Linked DNA regions of Macaca mulatta. The protein of the gene in region 1 purifies or fractionates together with the protein of each later gene. This does not show direct contact. Links are inferred from orthologs where the notes say so. Each region holds a gene or a part of one and is shown on either strand. Other genes may lie near its edges.

What was found. Proteins that work in one complex are often made in the same cells at the same time.
Region 2: the proteins of POP1 (region 1) and RPP38 purify together in Homo sapiens (affinity purification with mass spectrometry; 3 studies listed by BioGRID and IntAct, with this or other methods). This does not show direct contact. The link is inferred for Macaca mulatta from reciprocal best matches to the Homo sapiens genes POP1 and RPP38.
Region 3: the proteins of POP1 (region 1) and RPP25 purify together in Homo sapiens (affinity purification with mass spectrometry; 3 studies listed by BioGRID and IntAct, counting the BioPlex papers as one, with this or other methods). This does not show direct contact. The link is inferred for Macaca mulatta from reciprocal best matches to the Homo sapiens genes POP1 and RPP25.

The regions. Positions count from the first base shown.
Region 1 is NC_133413.1:108,511,422-108,521,418, forward strand, and holds part of POP1 (ribonucleases P/MRP protein subunit POP1), read left to right. Parts: coding exon 1-34; intron 35-479; coding exon 480-667; intron 668-2,488; coding exon 2,489-2,745; intron 2,746-2,867; coding exon 2,868-2,961; intron 2,962-6,080; coding exon 6,081-6,192; intron 6,193-6,791; coding exon 6,792-6,911; intron 6,912-9,997. UniProt on the Homo sapiens protein: Component of ribonuclease P, a ribonucleoprotein complex that generates mature tRNA molecules by cleaving their 5'-ends. Also a component of the MRP ribonuclease complex, which cleaves pre-rRNA sequences.
Region 2 is NC_133414.1:16,667,634-16,678,279, reverse strand, and holds the start of RPP38 (ribonuclease P protein subunit p38), read right to left. Parts: upstream 5,237-10,646; 5' UTR 5,171-5,236; exon of another isoform or gene 4,825-5,170; intron 371-4,824; exon of another isoform or gene 261-370; intron 7-260; exon of another isoform or gene 1-6. UniProt on the Homo sapiens protein: Component of ribonuclease P, a ribonucleoprotein complex that generates mature tRNA molecules by cleaving their 5'-ends. Also a component of the MRP ribonuclease complex, which cleaves pre-rRNA sequences.
Region 3 is NC_133412.1:52,905,412-52,914,613, reverse strand, and holds RPP25 (ribonuclease P protein subunit p25), read left to right. Parts: upstream 1-5,401; 5' UTR 5,402-5,471; coding exon 5,472-6,071; 3' UTR 6,072-6,266; downstream 6,267-9,202. UniProt on the Homo sapiens protein: Component of ribonuclease P, a ribonucleoprotein complex that generates mature tRNA molecules by cleaving their 5'-ends. Also a component of the MRP ribonuclease complex, which cleaves pre-rRNA sequences.

The DNA of each region.
Region 1 (9,997 bases):
AAGGCACTTTCTGGAATGTGTAGCATAGACACAGGTAAACTTGTTTTAAAGCTGAGTTCTATTTTAGTCTTTATATATTTATTCCTTTCATAAAGAAGTGTCTACTGTAAGCATTTTGGAATTCAAACATATAGAAAAATGTGTGAGACACTAATCATTCCTGATGAAAATATTAATTTAAGAACAGTTGGGTTGGCTTTTAAATCATTTCTAACATTGTCAAGTTTTACACTTGACAATGTGATAGAGTCATTTTTCTGGTGGGGTGAACTTGACAGAAAGAAACTTGAAGCTCTCATTATTCATTTAACACATATTTGTTGAGAACTTACTGTGTGCCAGGCTTTGATCTGAGCAATCCTCACAACCAAAACTTCACCTCTCATGGAGGCAGACAGTGAATGACAGTGTGGCTATCAGGAAATAGGACTGCAGTCTCAATACCTGGAATTATGGAATTTTGCTTTTGTTGATGTCAGGACTGACGTTTGCAGCAGTTCACTGCTTGTCTGGAAAGCGCCAAGGGAGCCTTGTGCTTTATCGGGTGAATAAATATCCCAGAGAAATGCTTGGGCCTGTTACGTTTATCTGGAAGTCCCAGAGGACCCCTGGTGACACTTCTGAGAGCAGGCAGCTGTGGATCTGGCTGCATCCAACCCTTAAACAGGTATAATCTTTCAGGTTAGCTCCTATTATTCTGAAACTGCATTTTTAATTACAGCTGGAAGTCAATACTGTAGAAATGTACATAGTGTAAAGATTTGTCTGATAGTCTGATATTTGTATATGGGAGGCTCTGTGAATATTGAATGAAGTGAATTTTTAAAAAACTTATAAAATTTGTGTTTAAAAATGTCTAGTTGACAAAAAGCAAATATATTCGCAGTATATAATATGATGATTTGATGTACATGTTGTGTACCACAATCAAATAACACATCCATCACCACCCATGCTGTACGTTAGATCCCCAGAACTTGTTCTTCAAGTAGAATGAAGTGAGGGTGGGGCATGGTTTCTCATGCCTGTAATCCCCCCACTTTGGGAGGCTGAAGCAATTGGATCGCTTGAATCCAAGAGTTTGAGAGTAGGTTGGGTAACATGGTGAAACCCCGTCTCTGCAAAAAAGACAAAAATTAGCTGGGATTGGTGGCATGCGCCTGTAGTCTCAGCTACTTGGGAGGCTGAGGCAGGAGGATCACTTTGAGCCCAGGAGGCAGAGTTGCAGTGAGGTGAAATCGTGCTATTGCGCTCCAGCCTGGGTGACAGTGAGACCCTGTCTTGAAAAAAAAAAAAAAATGAAACTAATCCTGACCTCTCATATTTTTAGTAAGTCATAAGTAGAAGTAGAGATAAAAACCAGCCTTATGCTAATTATTTGAAATGTTGAATTGGAACTAATGTTTCTACCATGACTGAAGTGGTTCACTAGTATCTAGGTGCTAATTGGAGCCTATTTGATAATGAAAAGCTATTTCTGAGTACTTCTGATGATTTTTCACACTGAATTCAGCTTAGCTTCCCTTCTTTAGCATACTCACTACTTAAAAAAAATTTAGTCAGAGTGATCATGTTGTTTTCATAATATTTGACTAACCCTACCCCTAACCCCAGCCCTAACCCATTTTAAATTTTAAATTTCATTTTTTTTTTGTTTAAAGTGACATGCACTACTCAGAACACCCCAAAACGCTTTTTTAAAAAATTAAAATTAGGTTAAAATATATATATATTTTTTGAGACAGGGTTTTGCTCTGTCACTGAGACTTGAGTGCAGTGGTGCAGTCATAGCCCACTGCAGCCTCTACTTCCTGGGCTCAAGTGATCCTCCTACCTCAGCCTCCTGAGTAGCTTAGACTACAGGGGTATGCCACTGTGTCCACCTAAATATTTTTTTATTTTGTGTAGAAACAAGGTCTCCCTATGTTGTCCAGGGTGGTCTCAAACTCCTGGGCGGAAGCCATCCTCCCGCCTCAGCTTCCCAAAGTGCTGGGATTACAGACGTGAGCCACCACACCTGGTCCAAAAAAGCTTTCTGGTGATTAATTTAAGTTAATCTGTGAAGGGATAAAAATGTGAATTTTTTTTTTGAGATGGAGTCTCGCTCTGTTGCTCAGGCTGGATTGCGATGGCATGATCTCAGCTCACTGCAACCTCTGCCTCCCAGGCTCAAGCGATTCTCCTTCCTCAGCCTCCTGAGTAGCAGAGATTACAGGTGCCTGCCACCACACCCAACTAGTTTTTGTACTTTTTAGTAGAGGTGGAGTTTTGCCATGTTGGTCAGGCTGGTCTCAAACTCCTGACCTCGGGCGATCTACCCACCTCGGCCTCCCAAAGTGCTGGGATTACAGGTATGAGCCACCATGCCCGGCCAAAAATGTTAATTTTTAAAGCGATAAAAAAAAAAAACAAAACATAACCCAACTAAATTTGTCATAATATATTTAAATTTCAGGATTTTAAAGTGAATATTTAAATATATTTTTAGGATATCTTAGAGGAAATAAAAGCAGCGTGCCAGTGCGTGGAACCTGTCAAATCAACTGTCTGCATCACTGACCCACTTCTGACACAATCCCAAGAAAAAAGCCAAACTGAATTGCCTGATGAGAAAATTGGCAAGAAAAGAAAAAGGAAAGATGATGGAGAAAATGCTAAACCAATTAAAAAAATTATCGGCGATGGAACTAGAGATCCATGTCTACCATACGCTTGGATCTCTCCAACCACAGGCATTGTAATCAGGTATGAGTTGAATTTACTTTGAACCTACTGAATATTTTCAGTGAAAACTTGCTCTGTTTTTGTCAGTGGCACAGATGTTGTGTGATGGAAGTTTCCATTTTAAGATCTTCTTTCTTTTTCAGCGATTTGACGATGGAGATGAACAGATTCCGGCTGATTGGGCCACTTTCCCACTCCATCCTAACTGAAGCAATAAAAGCTGCTTCTGTCCACACTGTAAGAGTAAAAGTGATGGTAGTGTTTTATTCTAATTATGTTTTTCCTGTCAAATTTGTGAAACCTAATATATAATTTGGTAACATTTTGGGCCATGGCTTTTAGATGTTTATTTCCCTACTTATTATCAAAGATTTTGTTATCTTTCACTTCTCCTAGAAGACCACAACTAAGTGGATATGATCAGTAAACTGACTGTTCTTATTTAAATATAGACTGCTCTGGTAGCTATGAGCCTTGTAGAGGGTCTTAACTTCGGCTTCATAGGTAGGGAGTCTCTAAAATCCCTGAAATTGTGTGCCAGATTTTGTGCATTTGTGCTTGTGCCACGTAGGTTTTCTTTCTTTTTTTTTTTTTTTCCCCAAGATGGAGTCACGTTCCGTCGCCCAGGCTGGAGTGCAATGGTGCAATCTTAGCTCACTGCACCCTCTGCCTCCCGGGTTCAAGCGCTTTTCTTGCCTCAGCCTCCCGAGTAGCTGAGACTATAGGTGCGCACCACCAGGCCCAGCTAATTTTTGTATTTTTAGTAGAGACAGTGTTTCACCATGTTGACCAGGCTGGTCTTGAACTCCTAACCTCAGGTGATCCACCCACTGTGGCCTCCCAAAATGCTGGGATTACAGATGTGAGCCACCACACCCGGCTGGTTTTCTGGGGCTAGTTTTAGGACTCTAGAATCCCTAAAAAGGTTAAGAGCACTATGTCTAGGGCAGAACTTCCAGTAGAGCTTTCTGTGAGGATGATGTTCCTTTGTGCTGTCCAGTACGATAGCCGTTAGCCACATGTGGCAGCTGAATACTTGAATTGTGGCTGGAGTGACTGAGGGACTGAATTTATACCTTTACTTAACTTTAATTAACTAAAAATTAAGTCTGAGTAGCTCTATTGGCAAGTGGCTAGCATAGAGACTAGATTAGGAATCCGTACCCTAGGTTCAGGTCCAGTTTGTTTTCTGGTCTTAGTGCAATTAACTTTTCAATGCCTGTGCCTCTCACTGACTTGACATGGTCAAATATGATGATAGAGCTGAATAGATTCTGAGTTTTTAGAAGTTTTTAAAATACAAAAGCTACTTTTCTCCATCTTCACTGCCTCTGCTCTACTCTCAACCAGTGTTGTCTCTTACCTGAACACTTAGGGGATCAGGAAAGGATTCTAGAGGGAACCTTAAGTTTCCTCCATTCCTCCTCTTTTTCAGCCCATTCTCCACACAGGAGGCAGAGTGATTTTTTGATAATTTATTCACCTCTTGTTGCTTCCTGATAAAAAGTTTTTGAATAGCTTCTCATTATAATTAAGATAAAATCCAAAGTGCTCAATGTGACCCACGTAATCTTGTGCCTTCTTGCCTCTGAGGCCTCATTTCTTCTCACCTTCTACACTTCAGCCACCCTGACCTTCTTTCAGGTTCTAGAATGTCAGTTCTTGTCTCCCTTAGAGCTTTTGCACCTGTTTTTTTCTTCCAACTACTGAGCATTCTGCCTCCACCACTCTTTGCTTGGCTGAACCATCCTCATTCTTCAGGTTTCAGTCTCTAACATTTCCCTCTAGTATCCTTTCCTGATCCCCCAAGTTAAACTACATCCCTCCTGTTGTTTTCAGAGCATCTTGCAAATTTCCTCAATTTGTATGTATGGATTTGTGTATTTATGTAATGTCTGTGTCTCTCACGAGACTGTGAGCTTCATAAGGGTGAGGATAGGGTTGGTCCTGTTTTTTACTCCCTCCCCAGTGCTTAGCACAATGCCTGGCACAGAGAGGGTGCCCCGTAGTAGCTAATAAGTTGTGGAGCAAAGATTTGAACCTACGAAGTTTGGTTCCAGAGCCTGTACTATAAACCACTAAGCTGTGCTACCTGAGTTTCTGTGAGTAAATGGTACCTTTGCTTTTGCTTTTTTTTTTTTTTTTGTGAGACAGAGTCTCGCTGTGTCACCCAGGCTGGCGTGCAGTGGCACAATCTCAGCTCACTACAACCTCCACCTCTTAGGTTCAAGCAGTTCTCATACCTCAGCCTCCTGAGTAGCTGGGATTACAGGCGCCAGCCAACACACCTGGCTAATTTTTTGTGTATTTTTAGTAGAGGTTTCGCCATATTGGCCAGGCTGGTCTCCAACTCCTGGCCTCAAGTGATCCGCCTGCCTCGGCCACCCAAAATGCTGTCATTACAGGCGTGAGCCACTGCACCCGGCCATGATTGCTTCTTTAGGATCTGTAAGTGCACATCCTACTTCAATGAACTTCAGCATGAGTTGTGGCTATAGATTCCCTTCTTGCCATGCACATGATACTTGAAGAGCTTTTTGAAATCTTCCTCAATTCCTAGTTCCATGTGGAAAAGATAAACATTTCTAGGAATACTGTAGTAGTAGTATATCCTTTATCTGGAGAGTTCTTCAAGAGGTACTGGTTTGATTTTCCTTCGGTGAGGAACATTTTATTGCTTACATTGGAGATGATGAAGTTAGCTCTAGTGGAAGAGGACCAGGCGCGGTGGCTCACACCTGAAATCCCAGCTCATTGGAAGGCTGAGGTGGGTTGATTGCTTGAGCCCAGAAATTCAAGACCAGCCTGGGCACCATAGTGAGACAATGTATCTACAAAAAATAAGTTTAAAAAATTAGCTGGACATGGTGGCGTGTGACTGTAGTTCCAGCTCCCAGCCACTTGAGAGGCTGAAGTGGGAGGATCACTTGAGCCTGGGAGATTGAGGCTGCAGTGAACCGTGGTCGGGCCACTGCACTCCAGACTGGGTGACAGAGTGAGACTGTGTCAAAAAAATAAAAAAAGGTAAGAGAGGAGCGAGGCCTCCTTTGTTGGTACTGTGCTCTGGAGAGACTGGGTGTGAAGTATCTTAGTGAGTTAGTCTATGAAAGCCATAGATGATTTTCCTCATGTGAAATCTTGAGAGAAGTGTAATACTATATCCTTGCTGCTAACTGAAAGAGTAGTCTGGTATCAACTACTATGTTAAGTATAGTGGCAGCTTCCCTGGTTCACCCCATAACACATTCATTTCCACACACAGAAGAAGAAAGAGTGGGGGCTGATATCACAACCATGACAAAATTATGAGGGTGGATTCATTGTTCGCCCGGTGAATAGCGGTTGTTGTTTTTCAGGTGGGAGAGGACACAGAGGAGACACCTCACCGCTGGTGGATAGAAACCTGTAAGAATCCTGACAGCGTTTCCCTTCATTGCAGACAAGAAGCCATTTTCGAGTTGTTGGGAGGTATACAAAGGGAAGACCGGGTTGTGTTGGGGAGGGAAGGGGGCTAAAAGAGCCTTTTGCAGTTGGGCCTCCAACGTGTAGTATTGCTTTTTAACCTGCTGCTATTGTGACACAGCAAGAGGACCAAGTAAGAGAGGGACTGAACTCAGTGAATAAACACTATATTCATGCCTGGTCATGAAACAACAAACAAATGAGATGTTCATATTCTAAGTAACTGGCATTCTGATAGTGGAGATAAATGCATACGCCAGGTACTGACCTAAACTCTGTACTTACCTGCACACAACTGTGTTTTTGCTCATAGCTGCTATAGTTATCACTGATAGAAGCATATGTGTTCATTTCATAAAAGAACCTTTTTTTTATGTTGGCTTCATGTTTTTTTGTGAGAAACCTCATTCTTTATGAATGTTAACTTATTCTCTAAAAGTATCAATGGGAAGAGAGGGAATACATGCTTTTAAGTAATTAGTCCAAGAAAAATGTTTCATTGGAAAATCTGAAAGATTTAAAAATACAAACAAATATAGATGTATTATGAATGACCTTCTGTAAGCTTCTTTTGGTTGTTTTTGTTCTTTTTGTTGTTGTTAAAGGAATAACATCACCAGCAGAAATTCCGGCAGGTACTATTCTGGGACTGACAGTTGGGGATCCTCGAATAAATTTGCCCCAAAAGAAGTCCAAAGCTTTGCCCAATCCAGAAAAATGCCAAGGTAAAGTTCTAAAAACACCCCAGGTTTTCCTTACGATTTTGAGCAGGCCAGTCTTATTAGAAGAGTTCTGTCTCTGACACATCTCCAGTAACTTCATCTGTAAAAAATTAGGGCAGTCTCCTTACCTGCCCACTTTACAAACTGATTATGATCTGAGGAAATGGTACATGTGGAAGTGTCTTTTAGCTGTAAAACATGTAGCCTGATACTTATGTTCATTTTATTTTCCGAGTTCTCTTTTTTTAGTATCTAGTAAAACCTGTCTCTCTGCAAACTACGTTCTCTGAAAATGTCTGGTGTTTCAGAATTTTAATTGTGAGGAAGGGATCTGCACCCGAAGCTGGTCTTGTGCTCAGTGGAAGCCTCTGTCTGACCATACAGATGATCCAGGTTCGAATCCTGGCAAGGCCATCCCAGGTGCTGAAATATAAGATGTTTTGCTTTAGACTAAGTAGAATGGCCTGAGAAAGTTGTTTGGCTGGGGTGGCATAGGAGGTGGGTAAGGGGCTGGCTAAAATTTTGTTCTGATCTGAGATTGGCGGAAATTTTGATAGTGTCTCATTGTATTTACTGTCATTTAAACATGATCAGTTGGAGGAATAATTAAAATTACCATGGCAATCTTTGGAGGTAAAGTACAGGTTTGTGTTGTAACGACTTCAGAATTTTTTTTTTTGAGATGGAGTCTTGCTCTTGTCACCCAGGCTGGAGTGCAATGGCGTGATCACTTCTACCTCTGCGTCTCAGGTTCAAGCGATTCTCCTGCCTCAGCCTCCCGAGTAGCTGGGATTACAGGCGTCCACCACAACGCCTGGCTAATTTTTTTTTGTATTTTTCGTAGAGATGGGGATTCACCAAGTTAGCCAGGCTGATCTCAAACTCCTGACCTCAGGTGATCCACCCAGTTCAGCCTCCCAAAGTGCTGGGATTACAGGCATGAGCCACCACGCCCGACCCAGAATTTTTTAAAAATGTAGTTAGATAGCTTATTGAGGGGGCAATAAATTACTCTGTCAGAACTTCACATAAAAGGTGGATTGGATGAGAGAGGAGTTTGAAGATACATAGGTAAGTTAGTTAATTATGAAGCCTAAGACTTCACTCAGTGAGTCATTGCCTCTTTCTTTTCTTTTCTTTTTTAATATCGATGTGGTCTGGTGCAACGTAAAAGTTGCAGCATTTACTACACCATTAAATGTTGACTGTTATAATCACCTTAAAGCTATAAACTCTACTTAGTTTCTCTTGCTACCTCAAATCCTTTTTTGGAATGAGGTGATTATTAAATCCTCTCTAAGGCTTTTGTTTTAATATGAATCAGCTCAAGGAAAATTAAAAGTCTATCTTGAAAAACGTGATTTAATTTGACTCCTGAAGTCAAGCAATCCTTCTGCCTCGGCCTCCCAAAGTGCTGGGATTACAGGTGTGAGCCACCATTCCCAGCTAGAGAGCTTTTAAAAGGGAGGGTACATGAAGAACCTGAAGTGATAATGAATATTCTTAGATGCTTTGGAAAAGTTTGCTTGATCAGCTGGTTCTAGAATTTGAATTAAATCTTAATAATGTGTTTCTGCAAATCTTTTCAACTTTATTAACACAACATTTCACTATATAAGTAACTGGTTTTCTAGGTGAGATTTAAAAATATAATTTCTGCTGTACTAGCTGTTATTTTATTTGCGATCTTTAGTATTTGCCATTTTGCTTTGATGGATTATTTTAATTAGTTCTTACCTGTGAGAGATCAATTTCCTTTAGGAAATACTGAATTTACATCGTGCTCGTGGGCTTATCATCTTTCCCTTTGAACACTCTTTGGACTTTCCCGTACTACCCAAAACATGGAAGGAGAACAGCTGCCTTTGGCGTGATAGGCTGCAGGTCGTCCTTTATATTTTAGAGCTCTTGCAAGCACTTTGAGAGCACTGACCTGCAGTGGACTTGAGCAGTGCCCAGTTAGCAGTCATTTCTCCGCTTCCCCTGGGCCCTTTGAACTGTTTTGCATATTTTATTTAAAATAGTTTAATCTGAAGGCTATAACTTTGTTTTTATTTGATTTCCAAATGAGAAAGCCTTTTACTGGTTACCTTTGCTTCTCTGAGTAAAACTCATTAAAAGAAAGTTTAATGTAACATTTGGTGATTTTTAAACACGTTTAAGAAAGAAGAAAGCCAGCACCTGTAAGTCACATTCTGGAGTTAATATAATCAATTCAAGAACTTTTGTCTGTGAAAGAAAACATGCTTTATATGAGTCTGGGGGAAGGACTCAGAATTACATTCACAAGTGGCAGTCATTCTAGGCACACTGATGTGGGTACTGATTCTAGGGTACTGATGTGAGTCTCAGCTGGGGGTATTGTTTTTCTCTTCCCAGTAAAGACTATTGACCTAAAAGGGCCTTCCCCTTAGCCTTCAGACATACTCCACTTTGTTGTAAATAGACTTTATTTTTTAATGCAGCTTTAGGTTCACAGCAAAATTGAGCATAAAGTACTAAGATCCCATGAACTTCCATCCCCCTCTATGCACCGCCACCACACAGTCCATGTCCTTACTAGAGTGGTACGTTTGTTACAGTCCATGAACCGATATTAACACATCATTATCACCTAAAGTCCTCAGTTTGTATTAGGGTTCACTCCTGGTGGTATATATACTCTATCGATTTTGACAAAGGTGTAATGACATACTCACCATAATAGCATCATACAGAATAGATTCACTGCCCTCCAAATCCTGTGTGCTCTGCCTATTCATCCTTTCTTTACCCCTAACTTCTGGTAACCACTGATCTTTTTACTACCTCCATAGTTTTGTGTTTTTTAGAATATTATATAAATGGAATCATACAATACATAGCCTTTTCAGATCGGCTTCTTTCACTTAGTAATATGCACTTAAATTTCCTCTATGTAGGCCAGGCATGGTGCCTCATGCCTGTAATCCCAGCACTTTGGGAGGCTGAGGCGGGCAGATCACCTGTGGTCAGGAGTTCAAGACCAGCTTGGCTAACATGGTGAAACCCTGTCTTTACTAAAAAAAAAAAAAAAAAAAAAAAAAAAAATTGGCATAGTGATGGGTGCC
Region 2 (10,646 bases), on another chromosome or scaffold:
AATTAACCTTTTAGTGACTGTATGGTATTAATCTTATAACTTGTTACTGTTTTCCAAATGCCGTCTAGTTGGGCTTCCATTCATTCATTCAACAAATACTCTAGGCCTGGCACAGTGGCTCATGCCTTCAGTCTCAGAATTTTGGGAGGCTGCGGTGGACAGGTCACTTCAGCCCATGAGTTCGAGACCACTCTGAGCAACATGGAGAAACCCTCTATAAAAAAAAAAAAATACGTACATTAGCTAAGTGTGAGGCATACCTGTAGTCCCAGCTACTTGGGAGACTGAGGTGGGAGGATCACTCGAGCCCAGGAGGTCAAGGCTGCAGTGAACGTGATCGTGCGGTGCCCAGTAACACATCTGACTCTATCTGCAAAAAAAAAAAAAAAAAAAAAAAAAAGATCTGAGCACCTCCAGTGTGCAAGTGGCGTTCTAGGTCCTGGGGCTCACGGTAAACAATGTCCACCCACGCAGAGCGCACAATCTGCAAGGACTCTGGTGGCCTCTGCCATTCAAAACCAATCAGGTGTGGTATTTTAAAGAACTGAACAGTCATCTCATGATTAAGACTTCAAATAATTCTGTCATGTCCATTTTTGTAAGTCTCCCCACCTCCCAGGGCCCTAAATTTCTTGAATATCCTTCCTACAGCACTTGATATGTATGCAGGCATACACTCCCCTTTCTTTTTTTGTGTTTTGAGACAGTTTCGCTTTCGTTGCCCAGGCTGTAGTACAGTGGCACGATCTCGGCTTATTGCAACCTCTGCCTCTCAGGTTCAATTGATTCTCCTGCCACAGCCTCCAGAGTAGCTGGGATTACAGGCGCCCAACACCATGCCTGGCTACTTTTTGTAATTTTAGTAGAGACGGGATTTCACTATGTTGGTCAGGCTGGTCTCGAACTCCTGACCTCAGGAGATCTACCCACCTCAGCCTCCCAGAGTGCTGGCATTACAGGTGTGAGCCACCACTCCCGGCCATTCCTCCTTTTTAGGGGGGCCCCGAGCCGACTTTTCTGGCTGGCAATTTCATGAAGACTAGGGAAATGTAATGAAATTTAAAGATATTAATCCATTGAGGAAAAATGAGAAGGATGCTTAATGGGGAAAATATTATAAACTACTGGTCCAGAGGGCATATCCTGTTTATCCTTCCCAGAGGCAAATACACATTCCTTTCTCTTCCCTATTTTCTTCCCTTCCTTCCTGGGGCTCAGTTAGAATCACAGGGACCCACCTGGCAAAACTAAAGGAAGTTATGTCCTTTCCATTTATACTTCCATTTACTAGGCTGGTAGCTGATGTTGAAGGCAAGTGTGCCTCAGTAGTGTATCGCTGTATAAAGCACTCTCTCCATGGATTATTTGCTTCTCACAGCATTCCTATAGAATTCCCCAATGTGTGCATTAGGAAACTGACTCACTGCCCGGAGTCACAACTAGTTTTCCAAATTCCAAGTTTTCTGTTCTTTCAATCCTTGCTACACCTCAAAAATAACCTGTGGCTTCTTAAAACAGGCAGATGGTTGGTCCTCAACCCAGATCTACTGAATTGGAATCTTCAGGAATAAGACCTGGGCATCTGTGCTTATAAAAAGCTGCCCTAGGCCGGGTGCAGTGGCTCATGCCAGTAACCAAAGCATTTTGGGAGCCCGAGGCAGGTGGATCACAAGGTCAGGAGTTTGAGACCAGCCTGGCCAGTATGTTGAAATCCCATCTCTACTAAAAAATACAAAAAAATTAGCCAGGCATAGTGGTGCCTGCCAGTAATCCCAGCTACTCGGGAGGTTGAGGCAGAATTTCTTGAACCCAGGAGGCAGAGGTTGCAGTGGGCTGAGATCGCGCCACTGCACTCCAGCCTGGGCGACAGTAAGACTCCATATCAAAATAAATAAGTAAATAAATGCCCCCGTGAATCTGATTCAGAACCGCAATCAGGAACCACTGGTGTAGGACGGGGTGCTTCCATGCTGGACAGCCCCGAGGAAGGGCCCCCTGAGCGCTATTGGTCTCTGATACTCTTCCCAGACACCTTCCCACAGAAAACCCAAATTCAGCTCCTTGGGGTGAGAGATCACACCCTGGTCGTCTCGGTACTGCCCACTGCTGGAGACTTCTGGGGCCTAAGCTGCTTCCTTCACAGTGGCCACACTGCCCCCTGACCCCATTATCTTTGTGCTCCCCAGAGCTCAGGGAATCAGGAAGAAAAGTGGCTCATCCAGATGCAATGCGGTGACTGCGAGGGGCTGGCATCAGGTTCAGAGTGGTCAGGAAGAGGGAAATAAGTGACAGAGGGGTGAAACAAATAGGATGGAACAGAGCTCTTGGCAACTGCAAGTCAGATCATGTCTCCGCATCCAAACACCACAGAGTAAATACTTAAAACCATGCTCCGGAGGGATCACAAAACAGGCTATAAACTTCTCCCGCCTGCAGAATCTGCTAGGGAGATAAAGAGAGCCAAGTAGTTTGGATAAGCATAATCTCATGCAATATAATCCAGAAACAAAATACTGACTGGTAAGATTTTATAGCTTTAGAGAAAGGGAGAAAAATAAGGCTTTGCTGAGGTCCTTTTAGAGCTGTGTCTCAAGAGTCCTCTGCTGCCTATAGATCAAGGGCAAACACTTTTTTCTAGACAGTCTTGCCCTGTCACCTGGCTGTAATGCAGTCGTTTGATCATGGCTCACTGCAGCCTTGAACTCTTGGGTTCAAGCGATCCTCCCACCTCAGCCTCCTGCTAAGTAGCTGGGATTATAGGCGCACACCACCAAGCCCAGAAAAGTTTTTTAATTTTTAAATTTTCTGTATAGGCTGGGCACGGTGGCTCACGCCTGTAATCCCAGCACTTTGAGAGGCCAAGCTGGATGGATCACTTTAGGTCAGGCGTTCGAGACCAGCCTGGCAAATACGGTGAAACCCAGTCTAAACTAAAAATACAAAAATTAGCCAGGTGTGGTGATGCGCAACTGTAATCCCAGCTACTTGGGTGGCTGAGGTATGAGAATCGCTTGAACCCAGGAGGCAGAGGCTGCAGTGAGCCGAAATCGCACCACGGCACTCCAGCCTGGGCAACGGGGTAAGACTCTGTCTCAAAAAAACAAAAACAAAAAAAAAACAAACAAAAAAAACAACTCCGTAGAGACAGGGTCTTGCTTTGTTGCCCAGGCTGGTTTTCAACTCGTAGGCTCAGGCAATCCCCCAGCCTCGGCCTCCCAAAGTGCTGGGCTGCAGGCATGAGCTATCATGCCCCACCCAAACTCTAATGTGACATAAAAGGCCCTCCAACCTCCAGTCTCAATCTCCCACCAGCCTCTTTCTCCTTAGGCCCCACCAAGCACAAGACCTCAACACCGAACCACATACTATTTAATGAGGCCAGCATTTTCCCACCTTCAAGTCTATATACATTAGTCCCTCTGCCTGGAATACCACTCCCACCCTCAGCCACAGGCACCACCTTTCTGGATTATCCAGGATGTGCCAGGCCATAAGTATTTTTTTTGTCGCAGACCTCAGTGAGGTTACAGTCCACAAGGAAAAAATATCAGCAGGTAATTATACAATAAAGCCTGATGCACATGAAGGTCAGGGAACTACAGGATGCTTAGGGAATATCCAGCAGAGGCCTAGCTTAGTTGAGGGGGTAGGAAAAGGCAGTCCTCATAGAGGAACTGCTTTTTTTTTCCCCCCCTTTTGAGACGGAGTCTCATTCTGTCGCCAGGCTGAAGTGCAGTGGCACAATATCGGCTTACTGCATCCTCCGCCTGCCTCCCGGGTTCAAGCGATTCTCCTGCCTCAGCCTCCCGAGTAGCTGGGACTACAGTACAGGCGCGCGTCACCATGTCCGGCTAATTTTCTTATTTTTTTTTTAGTGGAGATGGGGTTTCATCATGTTGGCTAGGATGGTCTCGATCTCCTGACCTTGTGATCCAACCACCTCGGCCTCCCAAAGTGCTGGGACTACAGGCGTGAGCACTTAGTCTGGGACTAAGAGGAGCCCGGCCGGACCTCTCAACCTACATCTAAACAATGCCAACCAAAGGGAGTATGGAGTAAAGAAAGGTATCTCAGCATTAAAAGAAAGAAGTTGGCTGGCAAGGTGGCTCACGCCTGTAATCCCAGCACTTTGGGAGGCCCAGGCGGGCGGATCACTTAAGGCCAGGAGATCGAGACCAGCCTGACCAACATGGTAACCCGTCTCTACTAAAAATACGAAAAACAGCCGGGCGTTGTGGCGCGCGCCTGTAGTCCCAGCTACTCGGGAGGCTGAGGCAGAAGAATCGCTTGAACCCGGCAGGAGGAGGTTGCAGTGGGCCAGGATCGCGCCACTGCACTCCAGCCTGGGCGACTGCTATGTCTCAAAAAAAAAAAAAAAAAAAAAAAAAAAAAGCAAGCAAGTTCCAATAAGTTCAATGTGGCTGGGAAAGAGATGCTAGAGAAAGCAGTGAGAAACTAGGAAAGGTGGGTAAGGACCAGATAATGAAGACCTTTGCAAGCCTTCCAGTGTGAAGCAACTTTAACGTCTAAAGCAGAGGCGTCATGATTAGAAAGACGTTATAGATCTTTGTGGATCTGGGCAAAGGAAGAATCCTTGAGCAGCAAACACGCCCCCGGAGTCGTCCAGGTTAGAAATGGCGGTGGCCTACACTAGAGACACCGCAGAAAGGACTGGAGAGAAATACATGTTAGTCGGAAAAGAAGGTAGAATCTCCCGACACAGTAGTGACCAGCTGGGAGTAAAGGTGAGAAGGGTATCGGTGGTGACTTCCGGTTTCTGGATCCCGCCGGTAGCCGAGGGGCGACGGCCGACCCAAAGCTCACCTCCCCACTGCACGCCGCCCCTGGATCGGTCCGTGTCTCCTTGGAGACCGTGGAGAACAGAACGGCCGGCGTGCGGTTTTCGCTTTGCACTCCTGGTGCCCAGACGGCGCTGCAATCCAGCAGAGGAGCCCGAGGAGAGGCGCGGAAGCTCTGGGTGCACACGACTGGCCCGGGACTGGGTAGCCCAACCGAGAGGGCGGCGAGTTCCGCGGCCACGCAAGAGGCGTCGGGGAAGCAGCGGAGGCCTTGCGTGCGCGCGGGCTTCGGCCTCCAGATTCCGTGGAGTCCCGGGCCCGATCCCCCCGGGGCTGGCCTCCTGCCCTACGTGGGCCCCGCGCGCGCCCACCTGGAACTCACGGTGGCGGATCCGCCTTTACCTGAGGGTTGCAGCACCGGCTCCAAGTGCGCCTGCGCCGCGCATGCGCAGAGCGCTCGCCTCCCGGCTTCGCCTCCCAGACGCGACGGGGCGGAGCGGAAGCGCTAGGAGCACTGCAGGTTTCGTTATCCTGTGTTAGGTCACTCCGGAAAGGGGAAAGCAGCCCACAGCGTCGCGCGGCCCGGAAACAACACAACGAGGCCCCATCTTTTAGATTCGAGTTTAGGCCCCGGGGTGGAGGCTCCGGACTGGGCCCCCTACAACGGCAGTGCGCAGGCGCGAGGTCTGTATCGCGAGACCATAAAGTTGCCCGGGTAACCAGACGCTCAGGGCTTGGACCTTCTAGTTGTTCGGAGGCCAGCCTACCGCCAGTGGTATCCCGAGGGCAGGCTCTCTCCGGGCGTCTGTGCTCCCCTCTCTCTTATAACCCAGTTTCTACCTTTCAGTGCCTGGGAGTCTTAGCCCTCTATCTCTATTCCCTTTTCTGTATTTGCTTTGCCTCAGGGACGCACAACCCCAGCCCCTGTCCCAGTGAACCCGTCGCCATGGAATCCCTGCAGACTCCCCAGCACCACGAAAATCAAGATAAAAGGGAGAAGGAGTGTGGGGTAAAACACATGCCTATGGGCAATAATGCAAGGAATCTTGAGCTCCGAAAAGAGAAAGGCGATAGGAGTTGCCTTGAGTTCAGCAACAGCTGCGCGGAATATCCTGTCCGGTGTACACTGTGGCTGCTCCAAGCAATGGAGACTAAAGTTACCATCGGAGTCGCTGCAACGTCAGGGACAAGTGATGAAGCAGCCTAATAACATTTTAAAACTCAGGATTCTGGATCCGTTGATCTACCCTTGGCCAGAACTTAGAAGACGGCAGGTTGCTTCTGACCTAATGAGCCACCTCCTCCTCCCCGGTTTTTCCGGCCTCACTTGGGCCCCCTTCCTTTTCCTCTTCTATATATCTGCCTCCTTTTCTCACTCTCTTCACTGTTCGTTTTGTTTCCTATTTTCTGGTATAGTTTCTGTGCTTTATTATTATTATTTTTTTGAGACAGTTTCGCCCTCGTGTCCCAGGCTGGAGTGCAATAGCGTGATTCTGGCTCACTCCAACCACCGCCTCACGGGTTCAAGCGATTCTCCTGCCTCAGCCTCCTGAGTAGCTGGGATTACAGGCACAGGCCACCAGCCCAGCTAATTTTTGTATTTTTAGTAGAGACAGTGTTTCACCATGTTAGTCAGGCTGGTCTCGAAATCCTGACCTCAGGTGATCCGCCTGCCTCGGCCTTCCAAAGTGCTGGGATTACAGGCTTGAACCACGGTGCCCAGCCTCTATGATTTCAATTTTCATGTTTAAGTACCTGTGTAGAACCTAACTGTCCATAAAGCAAACACACAAAGAAGATTTGGCTTTCGGTCAGAGATCATTGGAGGTGACACAGGGTAAAGTGCAATGTGATTTTTATCGGAATTAGTAAGATTAAAAAGAGATGACAGTGAGTTTGTAAGAACAGGTTTGTGTTTCATCAAATGAATTGTGTGAATTCGCTATGATGAACTGCAAGCAGCTTGCATGTCCAAAAACAAATAGAGACACACGGGTCTAATTAAAATGCTAAAGTAATAGGAAGGAGACATCCATACGTTTTTGTCCCCCTAAGGTTCCAGATTTATAGTTTGAGCATCATCTCAGCTTACATTTTCTCTATGGAAAACATCAGCCATTACATTACTTGGCTCTGGGTTGAAATCCTAACTTCAACTGAAGATCTTATGACCTAGTCAAGTTTATTAACCTCCTCTATGAAGTGATAAAAATAGTATCTCTTGTGAGGATTAGAAGAGATGATCCTCTATGCTAAGATGATTATTATGTGCGGAACACATAGTTAAGTGCTTGATAAATTGAACTGTGGTGAATCCAGTCTCAACCATGGCAAAACTAAGTTAATAAAAATGAAACATAACCTCTATTATTTTAGTGCTTGTGTTTTATTTTAAAACTAGCAGTTTAATTTCTACAAGGATTTTGCTAAAATTAACAAGTACATTTTGAAAGTAATTTCTCTCCCTCTTGTATCACACAGACATTACAACCAAAAAGTAACAAACATGCTCCCATGACCCAATCACACCCATTTTTTCTTTAGTGTTCCCTTCTACTTTGTTTCACATATGTGCGTGCTTTTACATTAAAATAATACAGATTCAATCTTCTGATTTTCTTCACACATAACACTTTTTCATGTTTCTCAAATTATTACTTTACATATTTGATATCCTATTCTGAAGAATCAGTTTTGTTTTGTTTATTTTTGAGACAGGATCTTGCTCTGTTGCCCAGGCTAAATGGTACCATCTCAGCTCACTGCAACCTCCTCCCAAGCACAAGTGATCCTCCCACCTCAGCCTCCCGAGTAGCTGGGACTACAGGAGCATGCCACCAAGCCTGGCTAATTTTTGTACTTTTTGTAGAGATGGGGTCTCACCATGTTGCCCAGGCTGGTCTTAGACTCCTGGGCTCAAGTAATGCTCCCACCTCGGCCTCCCAGAGTGCTGGTATTACAGATACGCACCACCACAACTGGCCAGTTTTACTTTTTAATGACAGTAATGACAGTCCTGTAAAATCTGTTTGGTCTTTGAATATTAGAGCTTTCTTTTTATATTCTAGAATTGGACTACTGTTTGATTTGTATGCTTTCCATTGTTTGACAATGACTTAAGATTCTGAGTGATGGCCGGCTGTGGTGGCTCACACCTGTAATCCCAGCATTTTGGGAGGCTGAGGCAGGAGGATTGCTTGAGCCCAGGAGTTCAAGACCAGCCTAGGCAACATGACAAAACCCCGTATCTAAAAAAAAAAAAAAAAAAAAAAAAAAAGGCATGGTGTGTGCCTGTAGTCCCAGCTACTCCTGGGGCTGAGGCTGGAGGATTGCTTGAGCGTAGAAAGTGGAGGCTACCGTGAGCTATGATCACATCATTGCACTCCAGCCTGGGCAACATGGTGAGACCCTGTCTCCAAAACAAATAAATACATAAAAAGCTTCTGAGTAATAAATTATATAATTAGCCACCATCTTTTGATGAAATAAGTGAAGGTCCCAACAAGAAAATTTGTCAACAGAAGAATGTAAGGGAATTGACCACCAGATTCTTCTATTCTTCTTTTCCTCCATGGTATTCTGACCTTAGTGCGCGCTCTCTCTCTCTCTCTCTCTCTCTCTCTCTCTCTCTCTCTCTCTCTCTCTCTCTCTCTGTGTGTGTGTGTGTGTGTGTGTGTGTGTGTGGTATCATGTATAACAATAGTTGTTAGGTAAACAATTCGTTATTTTACATCAGTTACTAAGCATGAATTTTAATGATGAGCTGCAAAATGAGTATTGAAAGCTCTATTAATTGGGACTGTATAGTACTCCAAGGAATATCTATGTCCACAGAGACAAGGTGAAGGTGAGGAGTTTCAAGCAGTTAAGCAATTCTCAGGCCTCACAAAACAGCAAAATCAAGACCAACATGATGTCAGCTCCCTGCATCTCTAATCCCATGGGACAGCATTGCCAGTCTCAGAGGTCGGATGACAGGTGTTATGAGTGGTAGGTCACTCTGTCAAGGAACAAACTGTAAACTTCAGCAAGCAGTTCCAGACTTACACAGAAACCTGTGGCTCTGTCCTAAAGTGAAGCAACTTGTAGGGGGTGCAGAGAAAGGAGAAGATGGAAAGCCCTAGTCTCAACTAAACTAGAGACATAGATGAGAAACACCCCTGTCAGACTCTTCTATAAGATAGGTAAGCCCTGTGGGCAAGGTCATCCTTGAGCTGAACCGGAAGCTCCCTGGCATGGCCTTCTGTGTCCCTACTGCCAGCGTGTCAGTCATGGACCTGACCTGCCATCTGGAAAAATCTGCCAAATAGGATGACATCAGGAAGGTGGTGAAGCAGGCTTTGGAGGGCCCCTCAAGGGCATCCGGGGCTACACCGAGCACCAGGTCATCTCCTCCAACTTCAACAGCGACACCCACTCTTTCACCTTCGATGCTGGAGCTGGCATTGCCCTCGATGACCACTTTGTCAAACACATTTCCTGATAGGACGATGAGTTTGGCTACAGTAACAGGGTGGTAGAGCTCATATGGCCTCCAAGGAGTAAGACCCCTGGACCACCAGACCCAGTGAGAGCACGAGAGGAAGAGAGAGGCCCTCACTGCTGGAGAGTCCGTGTGCCACTCAGGCCCCACCACACGGAGAATCTCCCCTCCTCGCAGTTTCCATGCAGACCGCGTGAAGAGGGAGACACCTAGGGAGCCCCACCTTGTCGTGTGCCATCAATAAAGTCTCCTCACTCAATCAAAAAAAAAAAAAAAAAAAAAAAAGGAAACCTTGCTGCCAGGGAAATCCAGGCATTTGTCCAGGACTCAGGGTAGACTGCAGTCAGGCCTTGGCTATGTGGCTATGTGGGGATGTCCAAGGTTATCAGGGGTCTTGGCAGTGCTGTCTTATGAAAATAGGGAAATTCGAAAGACCTTTAATCCTTCCTTTCTATCCCCTTCCTCCCTTCCCCACCCCTCTTCTTTTCCCATAGGTACGATATTCATTGAATTGCTAGTGTTGAGGATAAAGCGGTGAGCCAGAGTTCCAAAGGAGGAGAAAGGGTAAACAAAGAACGTAAATGATATAAGTTGTCAGATGATTCAAAGTGCTACAGAAAAAAAGCAGGGAAGGCCAGGCGTGGTGGCTCACGCCTGTAATCCCAGCAGTTTGGGAAGCTGAGGCGGGTGGATCACTTGAGGTAAGGAGTTCGAGACCAGCCTGGCCAACATGGTGAAACCTGGTCTCTACTAAAAATACAAAAATTAGCTGGATGTGGTGGCGCACACCTGTAATTCCAGCTACTTGGAAGGCTGAGGTAGGAGAATCACTTGAACCTGGGAGGTGGAGTTTGCGTGAATCGAGATCATGCCACTGTACCCCAGCCTGGGCAATAAAGTGAGACTCTGTCTAAGAAGGAAAGAAAGAGAGAAAGAGAGAAAGAGAGAGAGAGAGAGAGAGAGAGAGAGAGAGAGAGAGAGAGAAAAGAAAGGAAAGAAAGAAAGAAAGAAAGAAAGAAAGAAAGAAAGAAAGAAAGAAAGAAAGAAAGAAGAAAAAGCAAGGAAGAGTGGAAGGGGGTGCTAGGATGGGTGATAAAAGGCCTCCTGAGAGATGACAGATGAGCAAAGACCTAGAGGAGTGGAAGCACTGAGCCAGGCCGACCATGGGAAGATAATTCTGAGGCAGAGACGCGAGAGCAGGAGTGCAATAGGCCTGTTTGAACAGCCGGGAGGCCAAGTGGAGTAGAAACCCTTTGAAGGTAGGTAAGAATGAGAACAGAAGAAAGACGGAGAGAGATGGCCAGAGGCTCATAGGCCAGAAGACCAGACTAAAGCTATTTCTTGTCTCAAAGTCTTCCTGGAGG
Region 3 (9,202 bases), on another chromosome or scaffold:
TTCAAGGCCAGTGTTCTTTCCACGTATTTGCTTCAATATGTTGATTCCTTCTTCCCTCTCCTCCTAAATTTGCCTCCCAAACACTCCCCTTCTGTTGTGATTTTGAAATGCCTACAGTTCTTTGATACCCTTCCCTTCAGAAAATGGAGTCTAAAACCCCTCCCTTTGAATGTAGGCTGGGCTGCCTTCCAATAGAATAAACTGGAAATGATGGTGTGCAACTTCAGAGGAGGCTGGCCCATAACAGGCACTGCAGCTTCCTGCTTCTTTTCTCTGTCCCTCTCTCTCTTTGTCTCTCTCTGATCACCTGCTCTAGGGGAAGCCAGCTGCCAGGTCATGATCAGACCAGAGGAGAAACAGAGGTCTCTGACCAACAGACATGTGAAATAAGTTTGGGAGTAGATCCTCCATGTCCAGCTGACATCTTGACTGCAGCCTCATGACAGACCCTGAGCTAGCTGAGACCTCTTTAAGCTGTTCTTGGATTTCTGACCCTCAGAAATTGTGTGATCTCACAATCATAAATGATTGTTTTTGGGTTTTATTGTTTGTTTGTTTTGAAACAGTGTCTCACTCTGTTACCCAGGTTGGAATGCAGTGGTGCAATCACAGCTTACTGCAGTCTCAACTTCCTGGTCTCTAGCAATCCTCCAGCCTCAGCCTCCCAAAGTGTTGGGATTACAGGTGTGAGCCACTGCACCTGGCCAAATGTTTGCTGTTTTAAGTTGCTGAGCTGTGGGGTAATTTTTATGCAGAACAGATCACCAACACATCTTTCCCACTGTGGAAACACCCTCATCTCCCAAAGCTAACCCCTTTGGGCAGTGTGAGTCATTTAAAAGTTTATTTTTCTCTTATATTCAGCTGAGATAGTAAAGGGAGTCAGAATTCTCGTTTCAAACATCTGTGGTTGCTGCTTTCTAGCTGTGGTACATAGAGCAACTGAGACCTCTCTGGGTCTCAGTTTCACATCTGTCAAACAATGATGATGCCTTCCTGGAAAGGAAGACTGTAGAGATTGAACACATCTGACCCAATGCTGGGCACTCGGTGGGTGCCTGCTAAATCTGAGTTCCCTCTGGCCCTGCTAACTTTCTGATTCCTGACTCTACTCGAAAGCTTCCAAGTCCCTGCCCAAAGAGGCTGGGACTAGGATCACAGTTTTAAGAGCACCTCGCTGGGCGCGGTGGCTCATGCCTGTAATCCCAGCACTTTGGGAGGCCGAGACAGGCGGATCACGACATCAGGAGATCGAGACCAACCTGGCTAACACAGTGAAACCCCATCTCTACTAAAAATACAAAAATTAGCCAGGCGTGGTGGCGGGCACCTGTAGTCCCAGCTACTCGGGAGGCTGTGGCAGGAGAATGGGTGAACCTGGGAGGCGGAGCTTGCAGTGAGTGGAGATCCTGCCACTGCACTCCAGCCTGGGCAACAGAGCCAGACTCCATCACCAAAAAAAAAAAAAAAAAAAAGAGCTCCTCATCCTCCTCCTGCAACAGGAGACAGAGGAGAGGGGCTGTACCAGGGATCCCCCTTCAGTGTGAACATGAGAGATTTGTCCACAGGAAGTAGGGTGTGCTGCTGGAAAGGTCCCAGGGAACCTTAACAGAGATGTATTGGCTAGGCTTGGGCTCTAGTCTAGCTACACCAACACCTCCTCCCAGGGTGAAAGGAGTCTAGTTTGCCACTCACCAGGTCACTGTGAGTGAAAACAGCTATTATTTCTGAGGCTTTCCCAATTTCTTTTCCTTTTCACCAGTTTTCTTTCCCCAATCCCTTTAAATTTTTTTAAAATTTATTTTAATCACAAATAATATATGAAAAATAGTAACAGCTAACATTCCCCAAGAACTTAGCAGCCAAGGTTCCAAGGTGGCTGTCTCATAATCACTCTGTGAGGTAGATTACTATAATTAGCCCCATTTTACAGATGACAAAGCCAAGGCAAATGGGTTAAGTAAATTGTCCCAGGTCACACAGAGGCAGAAAGAAGCTAATAGAAAATGAAGCTTCAGGGTCAGTAGCTCATTTATACAAGCTGCTACAAGACTCTGTATTTAACTTTGTATTCATATTTAATAGTTCTTTTCTTAAAGAAGGTAATGAAAACTTAATGCGGTAACAAGAGGTCAGTGTGCTGTTTTCTTGCAGATATTTTAAAAATACATTTACATCTATAAACACACACGGAAATAAATGCTCCCCTACTGTGTGTATGGCTGGCACCCAGCTCCTTTAACACAACATCTTGACTGATTCCACTTTTCTAACCATTGTGTGGTGTGCACCACTGATGCTCTACTTTATTTACCAGCCTTTCTGAAGTTGAGCCCTCTGCTCCCCTCCTCTGACTCTGGCCGCTCACTGGGGTTCCCACCCTCTTCACAGCTTTTTCTCCCTTCGCCATGTCCCCTACGCTGTTTCCCCCCTCATACAGCCCCTTTGCCTGTGTCCTCACTACTTCATGCCCCAATTCCTTCCTGCCTCCCGCGTTTCTCCTCTCTCCTGGCCACCCCGCCCAGTCCTTCACCGCCCACCCTGTTTCCCCCGCTCGCTGCCCGCTCTCTCCCACTCCAGCTTCCTCCGGGCCTGCTACATTACCCTAATTCACAGCACCCCATCCTTCCGCCCTCACTCCCCTCATCTCCCGCCCCCACCCTCCGCACCCCTCCGCGGCCAGGAGGGAGCGCACAGCCGGCGGGCTGCGACGCGCGCTGACAGTGTAATGAATGGCTTCAGCTGTAATTAGCGACCCCGCGGCTAATCACGATGTACATTTACATTTTAAGTGCTGCAGAGGGAGCGGGGGAAGAGGAGGGGACCGGCAGGAGGGGATGCGGGCCTTTTCGGCGTTCTCCCTTCACCGACTGTGGAGAGCAGTGAATGCGAGTGTTCTACAGCAGTTTAGGAGGGTGGGGGCGGTGGGGTCATAGAGGGCCAACCTGGCCGGACGCAGAACCGCCCTGTCCTCGCCCTACACAAACCCGAAGCTCCCAGGACTCTTCCTCCAAATGACAGAACTCCGCCTAATCCCTTCCAAGTGATCTTGCTGCCCAAGCTTGCATAGCCCCGGGGACGGAGAGCTCTCTTCTTCCACAACCAGCCCGTTCCAACGTTACTTCCAGCCTTTCGGGGACTTTTTCTCAGGGCCTGACCTTACACAGCCCTCGGCTCTCCACGCCCCGCTACGCGCTGCGGACAGTCTTTGTATCTTCCCAAGGCTGCTGTGCCTCTAGCCCCCACCGCTGTGTGGGGCCCACGGAGACTGGAGCGAGACCGAAGTCCTGGTTCGGAGCATACCCCGAGGGTTCCTGATTCCACCAGGAGACGGGGTCAGCCATTCACACACTGGGGTGCCAAGGTCCAGGCGCCGCAGCCACTCCCAAGAAGTGGTAAGGGGGTAAACCCCGGTTCTGAACAGCAGGGACTGAGAGCTGCTGCTGATGCCCAGGAGGTGAGAACAGCGGGAGGAGACAGAATATAGTCTGGCAGCCTCATCTCCAACTGAGGCCCAGCAATCCTAGGCACCGTCATGCCCCCAGCACTTTTCCGGTTGCCTGCCAGCCCCAGCTCTCTGTGTCCCTCCCCGCCACGCCCCGTCACAGTCCCCTGGCTGGGACCAGATCTGCCGACCTCCCTCAGTCCTGACTGCGTGGGGCCGGTGGAAGGAGGACAGGCGAGGCCCGAGGGCAGTTTTAGGGAGGGTAGGGCCCCTTCTCAGACCCCCTCCCTTCCATCAGTAGTCCTGACAGCCCCAATCTCATCTTTCTCTAATGCTTCTCTCACCCGGCAGGAGACCCCGGGCCTCTCCTTCGGTCCCGAGGAGTTTCCAAAGAGAGGCATCCAGTAGCTCTATAATGCCCCCAGGGCTTCAACTCCCCATCTTCCTCCCTTCTTTCTCTCTTTTATTTTTTTAAAGTCTTTCTTTTTCATTTTTGTGGGTACATAATAGGTGTCTATATTTAGAGGGTACATGAGATGTTTTGATACAGGCATGCAATGCATAATAATCACATCATGGAGAATGGGCTTTCCCTCCCTTCTCTTTCTTTTTTATTTAATTAATTAATTTTTTTTTTTTTTTGAGACATAGTTTTACTCTGTCACCCTGGGTGAAGTGCAGTGGCGTGATCTCGGCTCACTGCAGCCTTCAGCTCCCGGGTTCAAGCGCTTCTCCTGCCTCAGCTTCCTGAGCAGCTGGGATTACAGGCGCGCACCACCACACCCAGCTGATTTTTGTATGTTTAATGGAGACGGGTTTTCACCATGTTGGCCAGGCTGGTCTCGAACTCCTGACCTCAAGTAATCCGCCCGCCTCGGCCTCTCAAAGTGCTGAGATTACAGGTGTGAGACACCGAGCCCGGCCCCTCCCTTCTCTTTCTTAAAACCTGCGTTCACCCAGCCTCCGTTCGAAAAAAGACCCACTGGATCTCAAGGGGCCAAGGTTGCCTGATCGAATTTCGCCTGGGAGGAAAGGGGCGGCCACGTTGGCATGGCATCGTGCCTGGCTCACCCTAAAGCGCGCAGCCCTAAGGGTGGGCTCTCGGGCATAGGTGGAGCGAGCCTACCGCCTTTTCAGAAGAGGTCTCGCCCGCTTCCTCACGCGCCTCGGGGAACAGCTTGGCCCAAAGCCTCACTCCTCACGTCCCAGGGGTGGACGGGGGTCCGGGAGCCTCGAGCTCTAGACAGGCGTGGCGAGGCTGAAGCCTGGGTCTCCCGCGCCCCGCGAGGACCACGCCGCGACGTAGTCGCCCGAGGGGAGGCGCGGAGTGGAGCCGCAGCCAGCTCCTCCCGCACTCTGCTGACCGCGCACTAGCTGTCCTTGAGGCAAGAATACTTGGGAGCGGAAAAAAGGTGGGGGTGTTCCCCAGCGGGGAGAGGAGGGGCGAGGCCCCAGCAAGCCTCTCGGAAATTTCTCCCTGGGAGGGGACGAGGGGCGGCCTTCAACTGCAACGGGGAAGGGCTAGGATACCGGGTTTGAATTGGTGTTTGCACCGCAAGCGCAGCTTTTATTTAGGCTGCCGGTTTGTGAGGGTTGGCTCGGAGAGCGCTGATGGCGATTGTCGTGGAACTTCACCTTCACCTGCCCATGCGCCCCGCAGCGCGCCCGCTCCCACGCCCGCTCCCACGCCCGCGTAGCTGAGGACCCGGACTTGCCACGAAAGGCTGGTGAGGCTGGGGCCCGGGCGGGCCGGGCCGGGCCGGGCCGGGTCAGGGGAGGGGCCTGGCGGCAGGGGCGGGGCCTCAGCTAAAGGCGCGGAGCACCGGGCGCCGAGAGCGCGGAGTAGAGCGGCGCCCGCTCGAGAGAAGTGGGGCCGAGATCGCGCCGTCCCAACCCGCCCGCCGGCGTCCGAGCTGCTTCCGCGCCCTTACCCCTGCGGGCCCTTGCAGGGCGAGACCGGCGGCCATGCAGCCCCGGGGTTGAGGCCGCCCCATGGCAAAGCCGGCGGTCCCGGCGACGACGGCGCATGGAGAACTTCCGTAAGGTGCGCTCCGAAGAGGCGCCAGCGGGGGGCGGGGCCGAGGGGGGCGGCCCGGGCTCTGGCCCCTTCGCAGACCTGGCGCCGGGCGCGGTGCACATGCGGGTCAAGGAAGGCAGCAAGATCCGGAACCTGATGGCCTTCGCCACCGCCAGCATGGCGCAGCCAGCCACGCGCGCCATCGTCTTCAGCGGCTGCGGCCGGGCCACCACCAAAACCGTCACGTGCGCCGAGATCCTCAAGCGCCGCCTGGCGGGCCTGCACCAGGTCACGCGGCTGCGCTACCGGAGCGTGCGCGAGGTGTGGCAGAGCCTCCCGCCTGGGCCCACGCAGGGTCAGACGCCTGGCGAGCCGGTCGCTAGTCTCAGCGTACTTAAGAACGTGCCCAGCCTCGCCATCCTACTTTCCAAGGACGCGCTGGATCCGCGACAGCCCGGCTACCAGCCCCCGAACCCCGATCCTGGTCCGTCGTCCCCGCCAGCCGCGCCAACGTCCAAGAGGAGCCTAGGGGAACCCGCAGCTGGAGAAGGCTCCGCGAAGCGATCGCAACCCGAGCCAGGGGCTGCGGACGAGGATCGGACGGCCTAAAACTCCGGACTGTGGGCGGGATCTTCCGCCAGCGCCTCCACCCTCAAATGCACCTCCAGCCTTTCACTCCTCGGTCCTCCGGAACCCACAACCTGGACACAGCTCCTCAAGGCAGGTAGCATGGACCTTAAGGCGACAAGAGAGGGGCCCCAGAAGTGGCAGGAGAGGATCCCCGACGACCTTAGGGAAACTTCGTGCGATGATTGCTGCTTATGCCCGTGTTGCCTGAAGACACGGAACTTCACCTTCACCTTTTCTGGGACCTTCTTTGGGGGAGAATGGTGGACAGTGGGATTCTGGAAACTTGATTGGGACCCCCAAGGGTTAAAGCCACCCAGCATTCACGAAGGGCACCTGGAGTGCGGAAGCCGAGAAGAGTTATTGGAATCACCCCCACCGTTGACAGAGAAGGCAGGGGGTGAGACTTGACTGCTTGAGGGTAGGAGAGTCTGAGATGTGGGGGTCCTATTCCACTCCCCGCCCTGGGACAGTTTTCCTTTCTAGTTTTCCTTCCCCTGCTTCAGAGGAGCATCTCTGAGGGTTCTAGCTCTTTTAACACCCCTTTTCCCCCTGCTGGCCCAGAGGGAGACCCAGGACTGAACTCTCCAGGCCTCCTCCCCCAGCCCTGCAACTGGAGTCTTGCTTCCAATAAAACAAGCACAAAAATGGCTCTGTCCCCAAATTTTTTTCTAACCACCCGCCTGTGCAGAGACAGCTCTGGCCTGGCCCTTTGTGTCTCCCCTCCCCTCCAGCCTTGCGTCCTGATCCTTTGGAGTCTTCAGGGTCAGGCATAGAGACTGGACAGCTTCAAAATGGTGCAAGGCACTTCCCAGTCCCTGGCTTTTTCCTCTCTCCTCCCCCACTCTGCCCTCCCGGGCTGGCCCTGGCTTCAGGGGCTGTGGCCCATGGGGGGCCCATGCTCCCCTGTACATCACCACTAAGGGAAAGGGAGTGGCACATTGCTTTTCTGGGAGGGAAAGGAAGGAGTGGAAGGAGAGCATGGATGAACTCTCCTGGAGGTCACTGCAAAGGGTGGCAGACCCTGCTGAGGTCCCTGAACCTGCAGCCTCCAGACAATAAACTGAACCTTACCCAGAAGGCTGGCACAAAGCCCCCAGCTCCGTGAGTAGGATCTCCCCTTCGCTGCCCTCTCTCTGAGAAAGGACAGCACACCCTTGGGAAAAGGGGAGGAGAGAGACTGAGCGCAAATCCACTGCTGGAAATTACTATTCAGCAGAGAAGCTGGGACTTGGGCTGTGAATCACTGCAGGCCTCCTGATAAGCTGCTGCCTCCAGCCCTGCACAGCTGTCTGTTGAGAGATAACAGCCTCATAAGCTTCTCTGCCCAACTCTAAGCCAGCTGGGGGGTGGGGGTGGTGCTGTGTGCTGGAAGAGCTCTGGTGAGTTGGGGGTGGGATACAGCCCCAGGATCTCAGAAGTAGATCTCATCCCATGCAACTCAGCAGCACCCCTGGAAAGGGGGAGATGCGGAAGAATGTATTTATAAGTCATTTTGCTGGCAGAACCCTGAAATAAATCCTGCTGGTGACAAGAGATACGTTCTGTGGCTGACTGGAGGGGCTCTTTAGGGAGGTTTCCCTCTCCTGCAGTTATCTCTGCTTGAGCTTTGGATCAGTGAGCTTTGTCATCCAGACTTTTTCCCTCGTTGCTCTCCCCAAATTCCTGCTCTTGATGAGTCCCTGGAGAGGGCCAAGGGGTTTGGTTGTGCTTGTCTGACCCTCTCAGGGGTGGCCCAGGAAGCATGGAAAGAATGTAAACTGTCCTGACAAGATGCCCTAGCTTCTCCTGGACTTCAGCATCTAAAGGCAGTGATAAAACTTGGACAAGGTCCTGCATGGTAGAAGCTTAAGGGAGACTGGTCTTGGTTCTAAAAAGGGGCCAACTTTCCAAGACCACTAGTGACTGATTGCTGGGTTACCAGGACTATGAAAGCAGTGCCTGAGGCCGGGCGTGGTGGTTCATGCCTGTAATCCTGTAATCCCAGCACTTTGGGAGGCCAAGGCGGGTGAATCATGAGGTCAGGAGTTTGAGACCAACCTGGCCAACATGGTGAAACCCCATCTCTACTCTAAATACAAAAAATTAGCCAGGCGTGGTGGTGGACACCTAATCCCAGCTATTCAGGAGGCTAAGGCAGGAGAATCACTTGAACCGGGGGGTGGAGGTTGCAGTGAGCCGAGATGGCCCCACTGCACTCCAGCCTGGGCGACAGTGCAAGACTCCGTCTCGAAAAAAAAAAAGAAAGCAGGGCCTGCTAGTCTTGTTACGGAGATAAGGCTGCAATGGATTTCTTTTTTTATTTTTATTTTTTGTTGAGACAGAGTCTCACTCTGTCCCGCGGGCTGGAGTGCAGTAGCTCAATCTCTGCTCACTATAAGCTCTGCCTCCCAGGTTCAAGTGATTCTCCTGCCTCAGCCTCCCGAGTAGCTGGGATTACAGGCATGCACCACCACACTCAGCTAATTTTTGTATTTTTAGTAGAGACGGGGTCTCACCATGTTGGCCAGGCTGGTCTCAAACACCTGACCTCTGGTGATCCACCCACCTAGTGCTGGGATTACAGGTGTGAGCCACCATGCCCAGCCTTTTTATTTATTTATTTATTTATTTATTTAATATTTTTTTTATTTTTTGAGAAGGAATCTCGCTCTGTCACCAGGCTGGAGTGCAGTGGTGCAATCTCAGCTCTCCTGGGTTTAAGCGATTCTCCTGCTTCAGCCTCCGGAGTAGCTGGAATTACAGGTGTGGACTACCATGCCCGGCTAATTTTTTTATTAGTAGAGATGGGGATTCACCATGTTGGCCAGGCTGGTCTCGAACTCCTGAACTCAGGTGATCCACCCGCCTCAGCCTCCCAACGTGCTGGGATTACAAGCGTGAGTCACTGCACCCGACCTCTTTTTATTTTTTTATTTTATTTTGAGACAGTCTCACTCTGTCGCCCAGGCTGGAGTACAGTGGCACAATCTTGGCTCACTGCCAACTCTGCCTCCCAGGTTCAAATAATCCTCCTGCCTTAGCCTCCTGAATAGCTGGGATTACAGGTGTGGGCAACCATGAGCAGCTAATTTTTGTATTTTTATTAGAGACGGGGTTTCACCATGTTGGCC